3 linked regions of the Pelodiscus sinensis genome follow. The main gene of each other region encodes a partner of the protein of the gene in region 2 in a complex. Links are inferred from orthologs where the notes say so. Each region holds a gene or a part of one and is shown on either strand. Other genes may lie near its edges.

Region 1 (7,342 bases), on a different chromosome or scaffold from region 2:
TCATTCTGTACCCTATCTCTGCCCTTAAGCGTATCTACCTCTCCCCCCAGCTTAGTGTCATCCGCAAACTTGCTGAGGGTGCAATCCATCCCCTCATCCAGATCATTAATAAAGATATTAAACAAAACCGGTCCTAGAACCGAACCTTGGGGCACTCCGCTAGAAACCGACCGCCATCCTGACATCGAGCCATTGATCACTACCCGCTGGGCCCGGCCTTCTAGCCATCTTTCTATCCATCTTACCATCCATTTATCCAATCCACAATCCCTTAACTTGCTGGCAAGAATATTGTGGGAGACCGTATCAAAAGCCTTGCTAAAGTCAAGGTATATAACATCCACTGACTTCCCCATGTCCACCGAGCCAGTTACCTCATCATAGAAGCTAATCAGATTGGTCAGGCACGACTTGCCCTTTGTGAATCCATGCGGACTATTCCTAATCACTTTCCTCTCATCCAAGTGCCTCAATATGGATTCCTTAAGGATCCCTTCCATGATTTTTCCAGGAACCGAGGTAAGACTGACAGTTTCCTGGATCATCCTTCTTCCCTTTTTTGAAGATGGGCACTACATTTGCCTTTTTCCAGTCATCCGGGATTTCTCCCGATCGCCACGCCTTTTCAAAGATAATAGCCAAAGGCTCCACAATGACATTTGCCAACTTCCTCAGTATCAAGATCATCCTAGCACCATGTGAGAGCAGACGCATATACCCACTTTGGTTTTCCCACAAAGAATAAGAGCCAGATCAAATCCTCCTATTTCTTAAACAGGCGTTTGTTTAAATATAAATATCTTTTTCATCATGGGAAGAAGTGTTTACTGACCATTCCAGAAGACAAGTGAATTCAGAAGGGATTAATTCAGTGTTTCTCAAATGCTGTCACTGTGGCTGCATGTGGCCACCAGGGGCTTTTCTTGTGGCCACAAGCTCCTAGGTAGTGATATGAGGGGGAAGGAAATAGCAGCCCATCTCCAAGGGTCACCAACAGGGGATGAGACCTGTCCCCTTCTGGAGTCAGAAATGCTGTAGGAGCAGGAAGCCAGAGAAAATTCCCCTATTTTGGCACCTATTTGGCTCTGGGCCCTGGTCACTGGGCTTTGGCTCTGACCTTGGGCTTCCAGCATTGATTCCAGGCTTGCCATGCCCCAATCAATACTGGCCCCCATTGTCTCCCCAACTCCTCACCCCCACCAAATTGCCCCTCGTCCTTGCTGCCTTCCAACCTACCTCCCTATCCAGGGCTTAATGTGTCCCCCAACCTGCTAGGCCTGAGTAATCTGCTGCGAAATTGGTTTTGTATGTTTAATATCATTTTCCACTGCCTCCCAGCTTGTAAGCGAGTCATTCTGTGGAAAATGATATTAACAAACATAAAAAGAACAGAAGACTTACTAGAATTTACAAATCTAAAACAAAAAAAACAAAAGAAACACCAAAAGACAAAAACATGCAAAGGATCTTATTTTTGTTTCTATTCTGTTTACGTCCAGTGAAAAATGGAGAAAACTGTACATTAATTTGATTATTGACTGAGGGAAAAAACCTTACATAAATAAATTAGTGATTTGGACATGTATATGTGCATATTTGTTTTTCCTAAAGTTAATTAAGTACAGTGAAAGCTTATCTGGACTTTGTTAACTGGAAAATTGTGTTAACCAGCATTGCCCCAGCCACATCTGCTGGCTCACACCTAACTCTCACCAGTCCAACTGGCGGTTGCAGGACTACTGCCTGCTGGCAGACATCATCAGCAGGCATCTCCTTCTCCCTCAGCCTGCCTCCAGCTGGATCTGCCAGCATGGGGTGGGAATGGAGCAATAAGCTGAGTATTTGGCACATTCAATTAACAGGTAACCCCCAGCTCCATTTGTATCTATGGTTGTGACTACTTTCTTCCACTATTTGATCTGAGGAAGTGGGTCTGGCCCACGAAAGCTCATCATCTAATAAACCATCTTGTTAGTCTTTAAAGTGCTACATTGTCCTGCATTTTCCCCCAGCTCCTCTGAGTGCTGGATAACAAAGCTTTCACTGTATTTTAGAAAAAAATGTCAGTGTTTCTATGAGCAAGAGATGGTGGCTGCAATCTGAGGCCACCAAAAAAGTGTTGTGAGATGCTCTGGATGAACTGCTCCCCAAAACCTCAATGACAAATGAAGGGAGCTGGGAGGGGCCGCAGTTGGATCCCAGAAAGGTACCACTTGGAAAGCGAGTGTGAAAAGACTTTAAACGCACAGTGACTCACTAGCCCTTCAGGACTGTTGACGTTTTAAAGTTAATTCGGGTTAAGTAGGGTGTGAATTTCAGGTGCAAAACCTCCTGAACCGCTCCAAGGCTTGTCCCAGAACAAGGCATCGAACGTGGGCTGCAGCCCTGAACGGCTGCTCTGCATTCGGTGTCTCGGGCTGACTGCACTGCTCCACCGCCCGGCTCTGCTGGCAGGGCTGGGGCAAGGGGCTGCCATGCCGGGGCTTAGCTCGGGGCGAAGCACAGCTAAGCGGAGGGGGGTGTGGAGTCCTCATGCCAGGGGCTTAGCTGGGGGGGCCTGGCATGGCCCGGGGGGGGGGGGGGAGGCGCTTAGCGGAGAGGGCGGGGCTTAGCCTAGGGGGTGGGGCCTGGCATGCCCCGGGGGCGGGGCATAGCTGAGCGCGGGGGGGGGGGGGGGCAGTCACGCTGGGTGACCCCGAGGTCCGCTGTGGGTGCGGGCTGCACCGGGCCCCGCGGGCGAGGCCCTGCACCCGAGCCAGGCCCGCGCCCCAGCCCCGCCCCCCGCGCTCCCCGGCGCGCACCTCCAGGCTGTACGTGCCCCGCAGCGCCCGGAAGTCCCGCAGCGCCCCGGCGGCGCTGGCCGCGTCCAGGTTGAGCTCCTGGCAGAGGCGCTCGATGGCGGCTGCGGCCTCCTCCCGGGCCATGGCGGCTCCCGGCGGCTCCAATCCCACAAGCCCTTGCGCGCAGCGCGCCAAAACCGCTTCACCGCCGGGCCTCGTTACGCGTCTCCCTCCGCCCGCAGCGACCGCCCGCCCGCCGGCCTGAGGAGCGGGGCTGCCGGCCCGGGCTGCCCGCCGCCTCCCTCCGCCTGTAGCGCCCCGCCTCCTGTCCCTCCCGCCGCCTGTCCCTCCGCCTCCCGCCGCCTGTCGCGCCCCGCCGCCTGTCCCTCCGCCTCCCGCCGCCTGTCGCGCCCCGCCTCCTGTCCCTCCCGCCGCCTGTCCCTCCGCCTCCCGCCGCCTGTCGCGCCCCGCCGCCTGTCCCTCCGCCTCCCGCCGCCTGTCGTGCCCCGCCGCCTGTCCCTCCGCCTGTCGCGCCCCGCCGCCTGTCCCTCCGCCTCCCGCCGCCTGTCGCGCCCCGCCGCCTGTCCCTCCGCCTGTCGCGCCCCGCCGCCTGTCCCTCCGCCTGTCGCGCCCCGCCGCCTGTCCCTCCGCCTCCCTCCGCCTGTCGCGCCCCGCCGCCTGTCCCTCCGCCTCCCTCCGCCTGTCGCGCCCCGCCGCCTGTCCCTCCGCCGCCTGTCGCGCCCCGCCGCCTGTCCCTCCGCCGCCCGTCGCGCCCCGCCGCCTGTCCCTCCGCCGCCTGTCGCGCCCCGCCGCCTGTCCCTCCGCCGCCTGTCGCGCCCCGCCGCCTGTCCCTCCGCCTCCCTCCGCCTGTCGCGCCCCGCCGCCTGTCCCTCCGCCTGTCGCGCCCCGCCGCCTGTCCCTCCGCCGCCTGTCGCGCCCCGCCGCCTGTCCCTCCGCCTCCCGTCGCGCCCCGCCGCCTGTCCCTCCGCCGCCTGTCGCGCCCCGCCGCCTGTCCCTCCGCCGCCTGTCGCGCCCCGCCCCGCCGCCTGTCCCTCCGCCTCCCTCCACCTGTCGCGCCCCGCCGCCTGTCCCGCCGCCTGTCGCGCCCCGCCGCCTCCCGCCGCCTGTCGCGCCCCGCCGCCTGTCCCTCCGCCTCCCGCCGCCTGTCATGCCCCCCTGCCTGTCCCGCCGCCTGTCGCGCCGCGCTGCTGGTACCCCTAGTTCCATGTGCCTGGCCTAGGGCTGTGCTAACGACGCTCAGCGCAGTGTTTCCCAAGTGGTGTTCTGCAGATCCCCAGGGTTTCGTGAGAAAATTCCATCACAGCAACATTTTATCATTTAAAAAATAATTAATATTTAGGCATTTTATTGAAAACAATTGTCATTTGTGTTGATCTCATGCCTTTGATTAGCATGTTTATTATCCTTACTTAGTTGTGGTTTATTTTTCATCTCTCTATATAAGACTTTTATTAGGGGTTCTGCAAAATTCTTTTGAGTTTAAAAGGGTTCTGTGGCCAAATAAAATTGGGAACCACTGCCTGTCCCTGCACCCTGTAGGGATGTGCTACCAGCAGCCCCTAGACATGCCCTGTGTCTGCACCCTGTAGGACTATCACTAGCAGCCCCTACACACGCTGGCTGACTGTCTCTGCACGCTGTAGTGCTGCACTACTGGCACCCCTAGACATGCTGACTGCCTGTCCTTGTGCCTTTAGGGTTGTGTTACCAGTACTCTTAGGCACACCAGCCACCAGTCCCTTTGCCAGTAGGGCTGTTCTGCTGGTACCCTTAAATACCAGCAGCCGCTTTTCTGGAATAACTTGCCAGCTATCTACACTGGCCGCTTGCTTTTCTGGAAAAGCAGTGACAATCTACTGTAAAATTGTCAGTGTTTTTCTGGAAAAACTATGCTGCTCCCGTTCGGGCAAAAGTCCTTTTCTGGAAAAACTGTTCCGGAAAAGGGCCAGGGTAGACAGCACAGTAGTCTTTTCCACAAAAAAGCCTCGATTGCGAAAATGACAATCGGGGCTTTTTTCCGGAAAAGCGCATCTACATTGGCCATGGACGCTTTTCCGGAAAAAGTGCTTTTCCGGAAAAGCATCCTGCCAATGTGGACGTGCTTTTTCCGGAAATACTTATAACGGAAAACTGTTCCATTTTAAGCATTTCCGGAAAAGGGTACCAGTGTAGACGTAGCCCAGCTGCTTGTCCCTGCATCTATAGTGCTGCACTGCCAGCAGCCCCTAGACACGCTGTCTGCCTGTCTCTGCACCCTGTAGGTCTGTGCTACCGTATCCCTAGACACGCCAGCTGCCTATCCTTGCATCTGTAGGACTACCGGTACCCTAGACTCGCTGGCTGCCTGTCCTGCCTCCTTGTAGGTCTGTGCTATGTGCAACCCCTAGCTATGCTGGCTGCCTGTCACTGAGCCTGTAGAGCTGTGCTACTAACAGCCCTTACTGGTCTGTGCAGCTGTGAGAAGATGCTATGCCAAGCCCTTGCTACCAGCAGTAGGCACAGCCCTATAGGGAGCAATGACATGCAAGGTATCTGTCTGTAACTGCTCTTAATAGGGCAGCCTCTGGTCATCCTATACTGCTGCCTCCCCCATCCTGACTATATAGAGTAATTTACTACGCCGCCCTGGCTGCCACCTGCCCTGCGCCCAACCCTGCCCGTATGCTAACTTATCCTGTGTGCTTGCTCTTGCTTCAGTATGCGGTGTGTCTACCCTGTAGAGTTGCTGAGCATCCTCAAACATCAAGACTTGAGAACAGTTCCTTGCTACCGGGCACTGGATTGACCCTCACCTCCTGGCTTTCTTCATCAGCCTGTGTCTGGGTATCCATGACAGGTATTTCTGTCCCTTTTTAACCACCTGTAAAAAGCAGCCAGCAGGGCAAAGGGCACTGGCTTCAGCAGAGCTACTGAGCATGCTCAGTGTCCTCCAGGCGCACATTCCAACAGGGAGCTGTTCTAGGGGTAGCCCTGGGACCTTCCCCTCTGCACCCTCTGCCCACTGGCAGCACTGGCCCCTCCCCAGGGGGGGGGGGAGCTGGGAAGTATTTTGGCTCCCACTCTGGAGACAGACACACTCCTCCAGGCTGGCGTGCGGTTGGTGAGCGTATAAAAGGCTTACTAGTGAAAGCTGGCGCTGGCTGCAGCTCGCCCCCCAGCGCTCAGGGACGTATGGGACAGAGTGAAAGCACTCCTCACTGAAACCACTGTGACTAACGCATGTTTCATTATTGCCACTGTATTCTCCTTGGAACAGGGCTGGGAGCGCCACTGGGATCCCTAGGATGCCAGGGAGCGAGAGCAGCCAGAGATTGTGGCAGGAAACAGACACAGAAGTCAGCAAATTCTGCATAAAATTCAGCGGGTGGGCAATAAACAGGGCCCCATGCATAAACTAGGGATGCAAAATCCCATTTAATTGGGTAACCCGTCAACCATTATGTTTAACCGGTTAACCAACTATAGGCGGGGGGAGGGGAGAATGGAGCCGGGCTGGAGCCACCCCCTGCCATAGACAAGGGCCGCTCTAGCCAGCTGGTTGGCGCATGCCCTGCCTGTGGCAGGGAGCCAAGCCAGGCCCACCACAGACAGGAGCTGATCCAGCTGGCTGATCAGAGCACCCCCTGCCCGTGGTAGGCCCTGTGGGCTGGAGCAGCTCCCTGCCTGTGGAGGGCAGGGAAGAGCTGTTCTAGCTCCTATCAGTGAGGTGGAACTAGTGAGCATCACCCATTGAAGAGCAGGGAGACTGGATGGAGCTCTTGCGTGTGTAGGGGGGGTGTCTTAATATGTGGGATCAGTGATCCCTGGCTAGTGAGGCGGGGGGAGAAGTGAGCTACTAAAGGGCTGCTTTTCTAGACTCTAGAGATGTCTAGGGTTGCCAGGTGTCCGGTATTGAACCGGACAGTTTGGTACTTTTGTCTCCTGTACGGTAAAAAACTTCAGAAAATACCGGACACCTAAAATGTCCAGGACTTTCTGTTTTTTTTCCCCCGGCCAGGAGGCAAAAATCCCTGGCTGTCCGGCTCAATACGGAGGCAGCCTGACAACCCTAGTGCTTACCAGGTTCCGCAGAGGAGCTGTCCAGCCCCACACAGGGAGGCAAGATGGCGGGTGGCTGCCGGCAGCCTGGTAGGGCCAAAAAGCCTCACGACACGTTTCTTTCTTTTTTTTTTTCTTAACAACTCTTGGGGTCCTTTTTTTCTGTTCAGTATTTTTTCTGAAACCATTTGGCAATCCAGATGTCTGACAGGAAGGTGTAATGGGGGTGCCACTCATCTCGTATGCGCAGCCAAGTACCTGCATGTCCTGCTGTGGCCACCCTCCTGCAACCCAGCTCTCCAGCCAAGCCTGAGCCTCCAGCTTCCACAGAGAACTGCCTCGCTCTGGTGCAACAGCTTCCTTTTAATTGGCTTGCTGGGCCCTCATTGGTCAGGTCCTTTGTGCCACCCTATCTTTCCTGGAGGACTTCTCTGTGGTTTGCTTGGCAGAGTATGGTAAGGCCATAAGCCTCCAGCAGGGGCCGTTGGAGCCTGGTCCACCAC
Region 2 (7,216 bases):
TTCTGCCGCACGGCCAAGGTGTCTGCTGCCTGCCGAATGGAGATGGGTGGCTGACTCCGGAAATTCACAGCTACAGCCGGCCTCCCGCGGGCACCACATTTTCCCCGTCGGGGGTCAGAGCCCCATACTTCCGACAGCACCTCCTCTGTGCCCCTGCTTCTCAAGCTGCAGAGAGGACCCTGCTCCCCAGGACTTCAAAACTACCACTGATCTTCCCCACAATCCAACTTCTCATTGCACTAAAACCCCTGCTGTCCCAGAGCCAGCCCGGCCACCTCCCCAGCTCCTCTGGAGCCCGCCAGGACTGCGCCTCTCTGGGACAATGCCCCGGGAGGGTCCTCCGTATTTCAGCCCCTAGCTCCATTCTCTTTTGGAGCAGATTAGGAAGGCTGTGGTGAGGCAGCTCTTATGCTACCCAAAGTCCTCAGCTTTCCTCGGCTGACTTGGCTCTAGGGGAAGGGGCAGGGAACCTTTTTGGGTTGGGGGCCACTGACCCACAGACAAATCAGTCGGGGACCACACACAAAAAACCCTCATTGATGTGATGCCCGACGGAAGCAGAAAGATGCTTCCTACATTTCCCTTGCACACCAGAGCCTGGGGGCCCAGCCGTGATTTTCTGTGCTCCAGCCGTGTGGTGAGACAGCGGGGGGCTGGAGCACCAGTGCGGGTCCCCAATGCAAGCGGGGGGCCCTGAGCCTTAGGGGCTGGATCCAGGCAAGCTGCGGGCTGCATTCAGCCCCCAGGCCTGAGGTTCCCACAAGAAGTTTCCAGGGGTGGATCTGTTCTTTGGTTGGCAGGAACAGCCGTACCTTAACACTCAGCGCGCCCCTGGGTGCCTGCCAAGGGAAGTTACTCCAGTTCCCATCCCAAGTAACCCTAAGTGTGAATTCCATGGGCGCTGGGTCAGTGTGAATGCATCGTATGTCTGTACTGATATGCCCAGCGCCACACTGCACTGGATACTGCAAAAGACACAAGCCTGGTCACTTTCCTACACAGCTGTGCTCCACAAGCCACTGCTCTGTTTCAATGATGCTGACAAACACGAGTCCCAACTGCCCGCCGCTTTTGGAGCAAACGCCCACCGCTTTTCTGTCCCAGCCTGAACCTCTTAGTCACCTCCTGCACATGCCCGAAGCCAGAAAGAGCAGCAGTGGGAACACAGACAGCTGAGGCGACACACACATGGGTATCACTCCATGGAGGCATGCTGCACTGCTGGAAGACAAGAGCTAGGTTTCGGCTTTGGACATGGCAGGGAGATACCGTGAGAAAAGATCTCCAATGGCCAGGGACAAGGATAAGTGCCTATGCCAATTCGCCACTAGGGATGTGAATCGGTAGCTGGTTGCCCAGTAAGCAGGTACCAGTTAACTGACACCTGGGAGCTGCCCCCTGCATTTAACCAGTTAACCAATTAAATAGGACTGGACATCCCTAACCCAGGGGGTTGGGTCTTCACCTGGCATCCTAACCACCATGCTACAGACTAGGTGGAAGTGCCTCTCGCAGAGCTCAGAGCCCATTCCTGTTCTGAAAAATCTTCCCGGCAAAAGTTTCCTCAAAGCTGACTGGCTCTGTGAAAAGTTTCGGTTTTGCCAAATCAGCATTCTCCCCGCTCCCCCCCCCAAAAAAGCCCCACACCAAGCCACTTTAGAGCCACAAACTGCTGACCCGCTTGAGAAGAGTCCTGCTGCCTCCTAGCCATGCCTGGATGCACAAGTGCTTCCTTGAGCCTCCCGTTTTCAGTCCTCCAGCCCTGGGTTCCCATGCGGATCCGAGCCTGATGCCTCAGGCAGCAACTGCAGCACTGCGGATCCAAGGGAGATTCCTCCACACACATGGCATGATAAGCAGCGGCTCCCAGGGCAGAGGCTGCTCGGGAGGCCGGGAAAGCAGGATGCAGCCAAGCACCAGGGAAGGGCATTGAACAAGGTCCGAGATACCACAAATACACCCGAGATCAATGTTGCACTCCCACTTACCCCCGTCCTACCCATATCACAGCCTTACCTGTGGCCTCCTAACCCCCTCCAATCTGCCCCTCGCAGCCCCCGCCACCCACCTGCTTCTCCCTCCGCAAGCTTCAGTGTATTCAAAGAAACCTTTTTCGTATTGAATCTCCCAAATTGTCGAGTCTGACAAGGCTGCTCATCAGGGTGCAATGAGCCACACGTTAGTGATCTCGGAGGTGCTGGGGTGAGACAGCTTTGGGGACAGTCTATGCAGTGCGCTTTTGTGATGCATAAACATGCAGGTTGCCACGTGTGTGGGCAAACGCGTATTCACCTGGGGCACAGACCAGATGCAAGCTCCAGATTTGCAGAGCTTCAGCCAGAAACGATCTGATTTGCTCTCCTCCCCTAGCAGCCAGGTCTCCCCCACCTCCAGACTGGAGGAGGCAGAACCCTAAAGATCATTTGGAAACTTCAGCTAGTGGAGAACCGCACCCCCACTTGCTTAGCAGTGATTTCCCTGAGCTCCGCAGACTGTGCTGGCTTCCTGCTCGGCCCCCTGCAACACACGGTGCTGACAGTGACCTACGCATCCCTTTCAAGCTGGTGTCCTGCTTAATGCAGGGCTGCCACTTGCGAAGAGCGACTGCGCTGGGGTGGATCCAGGCTACGATCTCCCGGTGACGGGGCTGTGGACTCTGGATTGTTTCCCTGCAGCGGGGCGCGGAGCAGACGCGCAGGCCCTCGGGGGGCGCGGGACCAGGGTCTGGCTCTGTTCCGGGGTGGCGACGACTCCCCTCAGCGTGTCACCGCCCCCCGGGACAGGGACCCCCCCACTTACAGCCCCCCCCCGACAGGCTCCACCCGGCCCCAGGCCCTGCACAAAGCGGGCGCCAGAGGGGGGAGGCCCCGTACGCCCCCCCCGGAGAGACCCCCCCGGGCCGCACCAGCTTGAGGTCCAGGACCCCGTCCTTGGCCTCCTGCAGCAGCGACACGAACTTGGTGGTGAGCAGCCCCAGGCTCTTCTCGTGCCGGCTCGGGGCCCCCGGGGGCTGCGGCCCGGACTCCGCCATCTGCCTCCCCGCGCGCCGCTTCCGCTTCCGCCGCCGCCCGCGGGGCAGGCCGGGAAGCCGCGCCGGAAGCCAGGGGGCGGGGCCGCTGCCGCCCGCGCGGGGAGTCACGTGGCGCCGGGGGGCGGGGCCGAGGCGGGGCCCCGCCTCGCGCCCGGCCACTAGCTGGGGGGTGTGTGTGTGTGTGTGTGTGTGTGTGTGACGAGTGCTGCGCGCCGGTTGCCAACTTCCCGGACCGCACGGAGCGGACCCCACTCGCGGCAGCGCCGCCCCGGCCGGGAAGTTGGCACCTGCGCCCCGTGGCCCCCCGGCCCGTAGCCCCCACGGCGCCTGGGGACCCTGCCCCTCGGGGGCTCCGGCCACGGTGGCGCGGCAGGGGGGGCTCGGCGATCCGGAGTGCGGGGGGGCTCGGGGTGCGGGGGGGGGCTCGGCGAGCCGGGGTGCGGGGGGGCTCGGGGTGCGGGGGGGGGCTCGGCGAGCCGGGGTGCGGGGGGGCTCGGGGTGCGGGGGGGGGCTCGGCGAGCCGGAGTGGGGGGGGGCTCGGGGTGCGGGGCTCGGCGAGCCGGAGTGGGGGGGGGCTCGGCGAGCCGGGGTGCGGGGGGGCTCGGGGTGCGGGGGTGCGGGGGGGGGGCTCGGCGAGCCGGGGTGCGGGGGGGCTCGGGGTGCGGGGGGGGGCTCGGCGAGCCGGGGTGTTTGTTTATTCACAGCCAGGTTTGCTTCTACTGATGGTGCACATTCACATGTGCCTTGGTGCATGTAGAAAAAAATATTCTGCACATAGATGGAAAAGATTAGAGGGAACATTGCTTCTCAGACGAATTCCAGACCAGTTCCCCCAGAATTACCTGTAAGACCTTCTTAAAGGGCTTTCCTAAAACCAATCTCCGTAATTTAACTGACCCAAACATTAAAAAACAACAAATAGTCTAGCAGCACCTTAAAGACTAATAAAACATGTAGCTGGTACAACCCACTTCCTCAGATGAGTGGAGAGAATTCAGATTTGGTCTCATGTTCACTCCTGGTCCGGGAGCAGATCTGGCCCCGGGCCCCAGCATTGGAAATACAAGCTGAACTCCAGGGCGTGGTTCACTCTGATAAAAGCTTCCTTTAGGAAGCAAACGCCTTCACTGCTTTCTGGCTAGCTCCACTCTTAGTTTTCACTTTTTTTCCTCCCCGGGGCAAGTCTGGCGTGTCCACACGAAAAACACTGGTTCCTTTTATGTCAACCCGCTTGGATGAGTCTGGGCCCAGGGAGGTTAGCTGATTGATTCCCTTTGACCACAATTCTTGAAGAACACGAAACTTAAAAATACAGAACCTCCCAAATTAAGTTTTCATTCACAAACTAGGAATCATTTCCCCTTTCATGCATAATATTTTAAGTGTTGCACTCACATAAATACAAAGCCTCAGACAGGTCGCCGTGGTAGTCTGTAGTTTCAAAAACAACTACAAGACCGGTGGCACCTTACAGACGATGATATGTGTGGGCATAAGCTTTCATGGGTAAAAACCACTTTGTTCGATGCATGGAGTCCATGTCCTTTTAGAACCTCAGGGATCAACTTCTCAGCCCAATGCTTTCAAGTAGGAATAAGAGATCCTCCGGAAAAGGGCTTTATTCCGGAGGATCGTGCCAGTCTAGACGCTTTTTTCCAGCTTTTCCCCAAGCCGGAAAAAAGCGGCGGACATGTTTATTTAAATCCCGCGGGGGATATTTAAATCCCCCGCGGATTTCCCTATTCTGACTTACCTGCTTTGCATCACTTTTCCGGAATTTGGGGCCAGTGTAGACGTAGCCAAAGTGTTTTTGTCTCCACTTCTGGAAACTCTGGAAGAATTCCACCATGATTTCAACAGCTTCCACCCCACCATCAACTGCAGCCTGGACCAGTCTACACAAGAGAGCCACTTCCTGGGCAGCACGGTGTAAATAAGTGATGATCACATAAACACCTCCCTATACCAGAAACCTACTGATCGCTATACCTACCTTCATGCCTCCAGCTTCCATCCCGGACACACCACACGATCCATTGTCTACAGCCAAGCATTAAGTTACAACCGCATCTGCTCCAACCCCTCATACAGAGACCAACACCTACAAGATCTTCACCGAGCATTCTTGAAACTACGATATCCAAGTGAGGAAACAGACTAAAAGAGCCAGACATGTACCCAGAAGCCTCCTACTACAAGACAAGCCCAAGAAAGAAACCAAGAGAACACCACTGGCCATCACCTACAGACTTCAGCTAAAACCTCTCCAACGCATCATCAGTGATCGACAACCCATCCAGGACAATGATCGCCCACTTTCACAGGCCTTGGGAGGCAGGCCAGTCCTCGCCCACAGACAACCCGCCAACCTGAAGCAAATTCTCACCAGCAACTATACACTGCACCACAGTAACTCTAACTCAGGAACCAATCCCTGCAACAAACCTCAGTGCCAACTTTACCCTCATATCTACACCAGCGACACCATCACAGGACCTAACCAGATCAGACACACCATCACTGGTTCATTCACCTGCACAGCTACCAATGTAATATACGCCATCGTGTGCCAGCAATGCCCCTCTGCCATATACATTGGCCAAACTGGACAGTCCCTACATAAAAGAATAAATGGACACAAATCTGATATTAGGAATGGCAGTATACAAAAACCTGTAGGAGAACACTTCAATCTCCCTGGACACACAGTAGCAGAACTAAAGGTAGCCATCCTGCAGCAAAAAACTTCAAGACCAGACTTCAGAGAGAAACTGCTGAGCTACATAGTTCATCTGCAAATTTGACACCATTAGTTTAGGATTAAACAAAGACTGTGAATGGCTGGCCAACTACAAAAGCAGTTTCTCCTCTCTTGGTGTTCATACCTCCACATCAGCTGCTAGAAGAGGGAGTCATAGTGGAGAGCAGCCAAAGCAAAAGAGCTCCCAAGGTGATGCTGTGGCCGAAAGGACTAATTCGATTCTTGGCTTTCATATTACATAGGACATACGCACACAGACCACAGCTGGAATATGGTGTCCAGTTCTGGTACCCATGTTTCTAGAGCCTGACAAATTTGTGGATACCCACTTTATATCCGCGGGTGACCGCATCCACAGCTGCGGATACCCACAGCTCATTTTTGTGGATACAGATACAAATCGGCTGCGTCTAGATTGGCATGTTTTTCCGGAAATGCTTTTAACAGAAAAGTTTTCCGTTAAAAGCATTTTCGGAAAAGAGCGTCTAGATTGGCATGGACACTTTTCCGCAAAAGCACTTTTTGTAGAAAAGCATCGGTGCCAATCTAGATGCGCTTTTCCGCAAAAAAGCCCCGATCACCATTTTCTCAATTAGGGCTTTTTTGCAGAAAACAAATCTGAGCTGTCTACACTGGCCCTTTTGTGCAAAAGGGACTTTTGCCTGAACGGGAGCAGAATAGTATTTCCGAAAGAAGCACTGATTTCAGACAGTAGGAAGTCAGTGCTTTTGCGGAAATTCAAGCGGCCACTGTAGACAGCTGGCAAGTTTTTCCGGAAAAGCGGCTGATTTTCCAAAAAAACTGGCCAGTCTAGACACAGCCATTTTGTATCTGCGCAGGGCTCTGCATATTTGAAGAAGGGTTCAGGAAAAGCTGCAAGAATATTAGGTACCGGAGAGGAGGCTTATAGCGAGAGGCTTATGACACTCAGTCTATTTATCTTGTCAAAACAAAGATGAGGCACTGATGAGATCATGGTCTGTCACCACTTACACAGGGAGATCTCTGAGGACGGGCTCATTAATCTTCCTATGTATTTTAGAAACTTGCATCTGTCTGTGAGTCCATTTGTTCAAGAATCCTCCTAACGGGTACAAGCTGGCATAACGCTGACACGGGAATTGAGCCTAGGACCTCTGGAGCTTAGTGCACGAGTCTCTACCACACAAGCTAAAAGCCAGCTGGCTCTCAGGTAATGCTGTAGAGCAGCCTCATTAGTCTCTCTTGACTTGGTCCCAGTGCCATAAGTGGGATAGTGCACCGCACCCAGCAGGTGTGAGGGTTACACGAGGATCACCTGATTTGGTAGGCAGCTTCCTCTTTACCATCACTCAAAGCGAGGTCGGGTTGGGTTGTGCCAGGACAATGGGATGTTCCTGGAATGGGACTGTTTCATAGCAAATGGAAAGGGAGGGGTTATGCTC
Region 3 (7,834 bases), on a different chromosome or scaffold from region 2:
CCGGAAGCAGCACTGGATGGGGGAATCGGGGTGGGATGAGCCGGGGAGATTGGGGGGCCAGTGGAAGCAGGGCTGCCAGGAGGCATGAGGTTGGGGGTAGGGAGCTGGCCGGGGAAGATGGGGGTGGGAGGGAGAAGCGGCCGCCGGAAGCAGGGCTGGACGCAGGCAGCGGGGCTGGCCAAGGGAGATTGGGAAGAGAACTGGCTGTCCAGGAGGGGGTTGGGGGAAGTGGGGCTGGCCAGAGGCGGGGGGAGAGAGTGAATCGGCCGGCAGGGAGCGGGACTGACTTGGCCATATGCAGGTCTCGGGGCGCTGCTCCCCTTCTCCCCACCCCCACAAAGCACGAGTGAGTCTGGCCCGGGGATTCTATTGTGCCCCCCCACAACACACACCCTCGAGTAGTTGCGAACTGTCTGGCTGGTAGACACACTCATGCAGCCTGAGCACATTTACCAGCTAGGCAGTTCGAAACTACAAACTGATACATCTAATAATAATAAAACTTACCTAATGAGAAAAGACGAGACATGTTATATGTCTGGTATTTTCTCAGTTTGTTTTTTATGGGTTTATATTTTTGGGCTGCAAAAAACAGTACTAAAAAAAAGGGTTCGAACTAAAGTAAAAAGATTGGGAAACCCTGGCATAGATACACAGATCATGGGCAATTTGCCTGAATGCAATCCTGTCAGACGCCCTAACCCACAGCTCTTGAGCCGCATGCAGCTCTTTGCTTAAAGAAATGCGGCTCTTGCTAGTTCTGAGCTGTGCGCCTGGACTGCTCGCAGCCAGCTGCTCTGTGCATGCGTCCCAGTGTCTGGAGGGAGAAGCGTGTGGCGACAGCGGCTCTGGGACCCAGGCATTGGGTTAGAGTGGGGGGTGCCTGGCTCTGGGGGAGGGAAGGGGATTGGGTTAGAGCAGGGGAGAGCTGGGGGTGCCTGGCTCTGGGAGAAAGCATTGGGTTAAAGCAGGGAGGGCTGACGGTGCCTGGCTTATCTTCATGGATGCAGAATAAAGGCAGCCAACACAGATGTCATATTTAAATTCCAGGGCAAAAAAGAATCAGCATACACTTAGTTTACACTGTGTTCCTTAAAAGAAAATTCAAAGGCTATTGTTCGCCAGGTTGAACCAATTATTCTGAGATATGTGTCTCTGCCTTATTGTTTTTGAACCTCTCATATTTGCAGTCTGGGACAGACCTGAATTTTTAGAAGTAAAAAAACTGAGGAAACCATACCAGAGGTCAGAAGTTGGAGTGAAACAGACACTTCAAATTGTGCTAATTTATTTCTCAGTTCAGTTTAATTAAAAAAAAAATCACAGGACATACTAGGGCAGTAATGTTAAATTTAAAATACATGGTAGGGATGCTTTTCTTTTAGTGTGAGAATATTGCTGTGTTTTTAAAAAAAAAATTTTTTTAATTTGATGTTTGCTCCTTGTCAAGTTCTCAGAAGATCTATGGACTGGAGATTAATTTTTTAAAGTGACTAGTGACTTTTTTATTGATTTTTGTCTGAAGTGTCCTGTAATGTTATTTTTAATCACTATATTTTGTGTACTATAGCTATCTATCTATCTAGATATATAAAAATAAATATCCACAGATATTTTGGCTCTTTGTCCCTAACTGGTTGGCCACTCCTGCCCTAAGCAGATAGTTTGATAGCCATGCTGATATTTTTTCATATGCTACATTGATCAGAATTATTGTACAAATGCCAATCAAACTGGGAATTAAGCTTCCTAGCTGCAGTAGAGTTAGATAAAATCTCCAGTCACATGTACTATAGGAAATGTTGCCTCACTACATTAAATATTAGTCACTAACTCATCTACTGCAGTTTCTTGAATACTGCAGGAGTAACAAAAATTCAGAATGCTCTTTGGAAGATTTTCCCTGCTTATTTGCCATGGAAGTGTCCATTGCAGATCAGCTTAGTTTATTAGTCAGTAGTTTACACAGAGGTACTGGAAGAGTTCCTATCAAGCCTCACTTCTTATATTTTCACCACCTAGCCAAGGAGTGCAGATCACCGTAGTTTAAATGCATAGGTGAAGGGAACAAAACCTGAGAAGCACCCGCATCAGAATGTTATGGAGAACATCCTAATCTACTAGGGCTCAAACTGGATACCATCTCCAGTAACATTTACATGGGCAATCAGATGAAACTTACAGTTGCCAACTGCCACTCCCCACACCATCAAACCATAACTCCATGGTACACACACCCATCCCAGGTTGCGGGGGCCTGGAGGTCGCAGTGCACTCCAGTGACCCAGGGGTCTTTCCCCTTCTCACCAGGGCACTGGATACTCTCGTTTCCTTTCACATGAAGGACCAATCCACCTCATCAAGCCCTGGAGGAGAATCAGGGTTGACTTACGCTGCTCCGGCCACAGGTCTGGGGATGCTCGGTCCAGCTTCTCAAAGCTCAGCAAGGAGGCTTCCAGATCTGTCCCTGGAAGGAGTCAGTCAGTGAGTCAGTCAGACAGACAAACACCGCTCCCGCCCCGAAGCCGGACATGTCACACGCAGGCTCAGCGACACCCCAGACGCCATGGCCACGGGCTGTGGCTAGAGGGTGCCCTCGCAAGGCTCAACCGCGGCGCCTCACACAGGCGACAAGCAGCTCCAGTCCGGGGACGTGCCCCGACGACAGGGCTGCCCGGTGCCCGTTCTCCAGCGCCGGGCGGGGCCGCCTGGTCGGGCCGGTCTCCAGACCCTTCCCCCCGGCTCCGAGTCGCCGGCGGGGAGGGGGCTGGCGCAGGGTAACGACACATCACGCTCAAGACGCGACCCAGGAACCGGGCGGGCTGGGCCGATACCCAGAAGCCGCCGCAGCTCAGCTCCGCGCGCAAGGCAGATCCGGTCCAAGTCCTGGTGCTTCCACTTCTTACCTTCCGTGGGAGCCGCCATCTTGCCCAAGTCACGTGACGGGCAACCGCCGCCCGCGGGAATTCGTACACGTGACTCCCTCTAGCACCGCCCACACACGCGGCGCTTGCGTTCCTCCCCTAGGAGGCGTGTCCAACCCTGACTTTCCATCCATGGCCGCCTTCAATTCCCGTAGCCAATCACCGCCCTGGAATGGTGGGCGGTTCCCCTAGGGGCGGGGTTAGGCGATTGCGGCTCTCTATTGGCCGAGTCGAGCGCCACAGCCCCTCCTGGGTAGAGCGGAGACTAGGGCGTTGTCTAAGCGGCCAATGGCAGTGCGGGGGCGGGACCTGAGGGCCCGTGAGGGTCTGTCCTGCGGGGGCCGGGGGACTCTCTGCAGGCGGGATGGTGGCGCTGGCAGGTCGCGGGGCCCAGGCTGGGCAGCGGCTCCTGTGCAGGGTGAGGCCGGGCGCCCGCTGTACGGCGGGGGTGTCGAGCAGCCCCCGGCCCGGGGCGAGGTGCGGGAGCCCTGCTGTAGCTCCAGCGGCTGGGCTCACGCCTCCCCTGTGCCGGACAGTCCCCCGGGCTATCGGCCTTGTGGCCGCCGGACGAGTGTTTCTCGCGGTTCCTCTGGGCTCCGCCTGGCTGCCAGCAAGACCCGAGGCCGCCGCTCCAGCGGGCAGGCGGGCCGAGGTGCTGGGATAGGTTTTCTCCGGGGGTGACAGCAGGGGTTGGCAGCGAGGTTCCCGGGCATGACTGGGGAGAGCTGGGCGGGGTCTCAGCTGGGATCTGCACGCGTCTGGCCTCACTGTTCCGTGCCACTGACGGCTGCCCCGAGGCGAGCTGTCGGACGGTGCTTGGAAGGCTGCACCCTTGAAACGGTTTAGGTTAAAACCGATAAACTAGGAGGAATTTTCCAGCGCTTTCAAATACGATCTGGCAAGGCTCACCTGAACCCAGTTCGTGCTTTGGGTCCTTGCCATTGATTCCGTTAGCACGTGTTCAGTCCCCTAGCCTGATATGGGGTATGATTGAGACCCCCTTCCCACAGCATCTTACCGTGCAACCAGTGGTATTTGTGGCTGCCCCTTTGCTCCCTCAGGCTATAGTTGACTCATGGACGTTGGGGATCAGATCCCAGGCTCTCTCCACAACCATAGCGTCTGCACGGGTTTAACCTCTGCAGGATTTGCCTCCTGTGTGTCTAACAGCATTGATCTCTGTGTGTCTGCCTTTCTTTCATGTAGATCCTAGGAAAAGTCAGTCCCACCTGGTATTCATCCTTTTCCTCCTCTTACTCAGTGGTGAGTTCATTCTTGTTCCTGTTGACAAGCTTTACCAAAGGGGAGACATGGGAAGTTCAAAGGGCCCTGGATGCAGGGGAGGAGGAGGAGGAGATGCAGATGGTGACTATCTTATTAGCCAGCTATGCACACTTGTATGGCAGGAGCTGCACCCCCGTACTATCACTTGCATAACTTAGCATGCCCAGTACCTGTCTAATCTGGTGTTAAACTAAATCAGACTTTGCAGTTGCATTGCCAAAGGAGGGGGTTGGTATTTGGAAGAAAATGTATTTGCTGAATTAGCTTTAGATAACTTAGCCCAGTTAGTAAGAGCAGGGCATGAAACAATTTCATGTTAGGCCTCTAGATAGGGCTGGCTAAAGTTCTGGGAAGTCTATAACTGCTACTGGGGCAGGTGGATTGTTGGACTCCTTTCCTCATGCAATGAAACACTTCCTTCACATCTTTTTAAAAAGTCACTTCCAGGGCTTAAATTCTCAGAGACTATTTCACAGAGCTGACCACCATTTAGGACACAGCTGCCAAATGAAGCACGTCTCAGGGAGAGGAGAGGGTGTTCTCAGGGCTTCTATAGGTTTGAAAATATTTACCGGAGCTCTGTTCTGGGTGGCTCCAGGTGAATCTGGGGTTCAGTGAAGGGAGGGAGGAGAGTCCTAAAGCCTTTCTAAATAAGGATGTAAGTGAGTAGTGAAGTCAGGTATTTGACTACTCACTCTCCCTTCCATGTCACTGCCTCTGTATTGGTGGCAGCAAGGAGGGGTGGGCAGGAGCCGGTGCTGGTGGGAGCCACCTTAAAAGCCAGTTCCCTCCAGCACTGTCTCTGTGGTGCCATGCTCTAGAAATCTCTGTCTTGTACTGCACAGCCCTTTCCTGGACAATACGAGCTTGGATAATAATAGAAATAAGTACACTTGCTGTCCCAAGTGGAGTTTCCCAAACACTTCAAATACACTGGATCAAAGGGAATGATTTTTGTATGCTTTTAAGCGTGAAGCATACGAGTCAGAATTTAATACAAGAAAAATAAAATAAAAACGTTACAGGCAACGACTGCCTAACTTTGCCATTATGGCAGCAGTTCGCAAACTGTCATTCAGAACCACAGAATGGGCTATGATCAAGTTTTAATTGGGTCTGCAAAGGCTGGCATTGGATTTGCTGTGGACCAGGACCAAAGACTGATTTTGATGACTTTGACTTTGGCCCTGAGTGGTGGGGTTCAGGTTACAGGTCTGCTGAGGCCTTGGGCTTTAGCCTACCCACCCAGGGTGTTGGGGCTTGAGGTTTTCCCCACTTTCCTGACAGCCAGGGCAGCAGGTCTCAGGTGGGCTCAGGCTTTGGCCTCCTCTCCTGGGGCCATGCAGTAATATTTTATTGTTGGAAGAAGGTTACAATGCAATGAGGTTTTGGAACCCCTGAACTAAGGTAAATTCAAAGCAAAGCAGTAACGATGGGTGACAGGGGAAGGAGGAAGACACTGACCACGTGCTCCCTGCTTCCGCCCAAGGAAGGACCAGGACAACTCCCTTCTGCTCCAGGCCCTGTCTCTCCTTGCCCCTTTGTTTCAGCCCAGGGGACTGGTGGGGCCAGGGGTCTGTGCTGCACTCTTCCTACACATGGATTGGGTGGCTCCAGCTTGTGCAATGCTGTTCTATTCAATATTTTGTTTTCTTGTCATTATTCATTGTGGCCTATTTACTGCACAATATTCAGACCTTGTGTTGAAAATAGAATTATTTCTTTACTCAAAATTTTTATCTACATCTCCAAAAATAAGTTGCAGACATATGCATTCACATTTATAAATGTAGATACTTGCAGATATAAAGCAGAGCTCTATCTACATATAGGCTTATAGTTATATAGAGCTAAGTAGTCTTGAAAAAAAATCAGCTTTTAGGCATCTCAAATTAGGCAACCAAAATTAGTAAATGTTTTTGACCCAAGTCTCCTTGCCTCAGTTTCCCTATCTGTAAAATGGGGATAATAAAACTACTACCTCACCGGGGTTATGTGAAGATACAAAACATTAATGAGTTATTTAGAACCCTACACAACTGCAGACATCCACATGCGCAGATGTGGTTTTTTTTGTAGATGGAGATGCGGATACAAGTGTTGTATAGAGCCTTGCACAAATGCGTGTGAAAAGTTTGCTTTAAGTGACTTACCTAGTATCACTTAGGAACTCTGTGGCAGAGACAGCATTCATTTGTTTTAAGCATGAGTCAGTCCTTCTCTTCCTGCATTCCCCTACCCCACTCAGTACAAGTCGTCCAACTTCTGCCACAAATAAGGCAGGGGCCCTATGGACAGAAGTCCCCTTTCATACCTCGCCTGGATTCAACAGAATAGGTCCATTTTGTCCAGTGAATGAAGCAAGGAGTTTGTGAGATGAGGGGGAAAAATGTGAATATGTAATTGAAGACTGTAGCATAATGCTGATACACAAGGGGCTGGATTAAAGTTGCAGAGTTATTCTTAACTTTAATTCCCAATTTTTGATTGCTTAGCTTTGCAACTTAAATTTTCTTTTAATGTAGTTTTTTTGTGTGTAATTGCCTAGCTCTTAAAAAAGCAAACTGGGGGGCAGGGGGAATTCCATTGTGGCATCCAAGTGATACCCACATGGGTTATTAGTTGGGTTGATACTGTGGTGTTATATGCATATCCCATCACAGGAGTGAAGATATTCAGGGGTGTGGATGCCACCTGATTGGCTACAGGGTATTCAGCTGTCTCTCTAGTCTGTAAATGTCCCCTTGCAGTCTAGGGTATTTGAGCTTAGTGTCTAAGGTCAATAGTGCTGTGCTTTCTCTCAGAGCAGTACAGTCTGCTGGTCAGAGTCCATCATGGTCAGCCTTCACTCCAGGGCAGTGTGGCCTAGTGGCCAGAGTCAGTAAGTGGCCCTGGTCTCAGGGCAACACAGAGAATCGGTAAGTAGCTCTTGTTGCAGGGCAGTAGGTCCTAAAGGCCAGGCCAGAATCAGTAGGATTGGGGCAAGCACCCTGGTAGGGGGAACCGGGCCCACCCTACACCACCAGGTCCTACCCAGCGCCCTGCGAGCAGCAGAACAATCTACAACTCCCTCGGTGGGGAATCTGGCCAAAACCCGCCAAATATACCTGGGTGGGAGAGGCCATTCCTGCACCCTCCCTGGGTCACTTACTACGATTCTGGCAGGTCGACGTCCCACATAGTGGCTTGGTCTCCCAGTTCCCTGGCAGCGGCTTCTTCCTGGGACTCTGCGGGGATTGCATAGCAGCCGTCTCCTGGGATTCCGGGTTCTCACTGTTCTGGGTCACTGGCTGCTGCAGCATGGGAGCTCTGGCTGGAAGTCTTTCTCCTTCATTGGCCAGCCCAGATAAGCTACTCTCTTGCCTTTTATGCTGCCCCAGCACTTGGAGCATGCCCAGTCTGGTTGAAGGAGCAGGGCTTTCTCTGCCCACAGGGTTTTCATTCCCCCTGCTCCAGTGTGGGGTATTCACACCCTGTTACAGGTACCTTTAGAACCACCACACAGACCGTAGTCATTTCACTTAGTGAAGTAACTGATAGCAATAGTAAGTTGACATCCTCTAGTGGCACAGAGGAAGGTGAGAGACTTTGCCAGTGAGTTTCATAGATATTTGCTGAAACTGGGG

Evidence for each region. Proteins that work in one complex are often made in the same cells at the same time.
Region 1: E2F4 (region 2) and RBL1 share a complex: the UniProt entries of both Homo sapiens proteins name them as parts of the DREAM complex. The link is inferred for Pelodiscus sinensis from reciprocal best matches to the Homo sapiens genes E2F4 and RBL1.
Region 3: E2F4 (region 2) and LIN52 share a complex: the UniProt entries of both Homo sapiens proteins name them as parts of the DREAM complex. The link is inferred for Pelodiscus sinensis from reciprocal best matches to the Homo sapiens genes E2F4 and LIN52.

Annotation. Positions count from the first base shown.
Region 1 is NC_134728.1:32,852,479-32,859,820, reverse strand, and holds the start of RBL1 (retinoblastoma-like protein 1), read right to left. Parts: upstream 3,037-7,342; 5' UTR 2,925-3,036; coding exon 2,802-2,924; intron 1-2,801. UniProt on the Homo sapiens protein: Key regulator of entry into cell division. Directly involved in heterochromatin formation by maintaining overall chromatin structure and, in particular, that of constitutive heterochromatin by stabilizing histone methylation.
Region 2 is NC_134722.1:47,083,360-47,090,575, reverse strand, and holds the start of E2F4 (transcription factor E2F4), read right to left. Parts: upstream 3,087-7,216; 5' UTR 3,032-3,086; coding exon 2,906-3,031; intron 30-2,905; coding exon 1-29. UniProt on the Homo sapiens protein: Transcription activator that binds DNA cooperatively with DP proteins through the E2 recognition site, 5'-TTTC[CG]CGC-3' found in the promoter region of a number of genes whose products are involved in cell cycle regulation or in DNA replication.
Region 3 is NC_134714.1:44,998,764-45,006,597, forward strand, and holds the start of LIN52 (protein lin-52 homolog), read right to left. Parts: upstream 3,037-7,834; 5' UTR 2,926-3,036; coding exon 2,907-2,925; intron 2,468-2,906; coding exon 2,393-2,467; intron 1-2,392. Other genes in the region: ALDH6A1 (methylmalonate-semialdehyde/malonate-semialdehyde dehydrogenase [acylating], mitochondrial), read left to right, coding at 3,289-3,342, 4,131-4,187.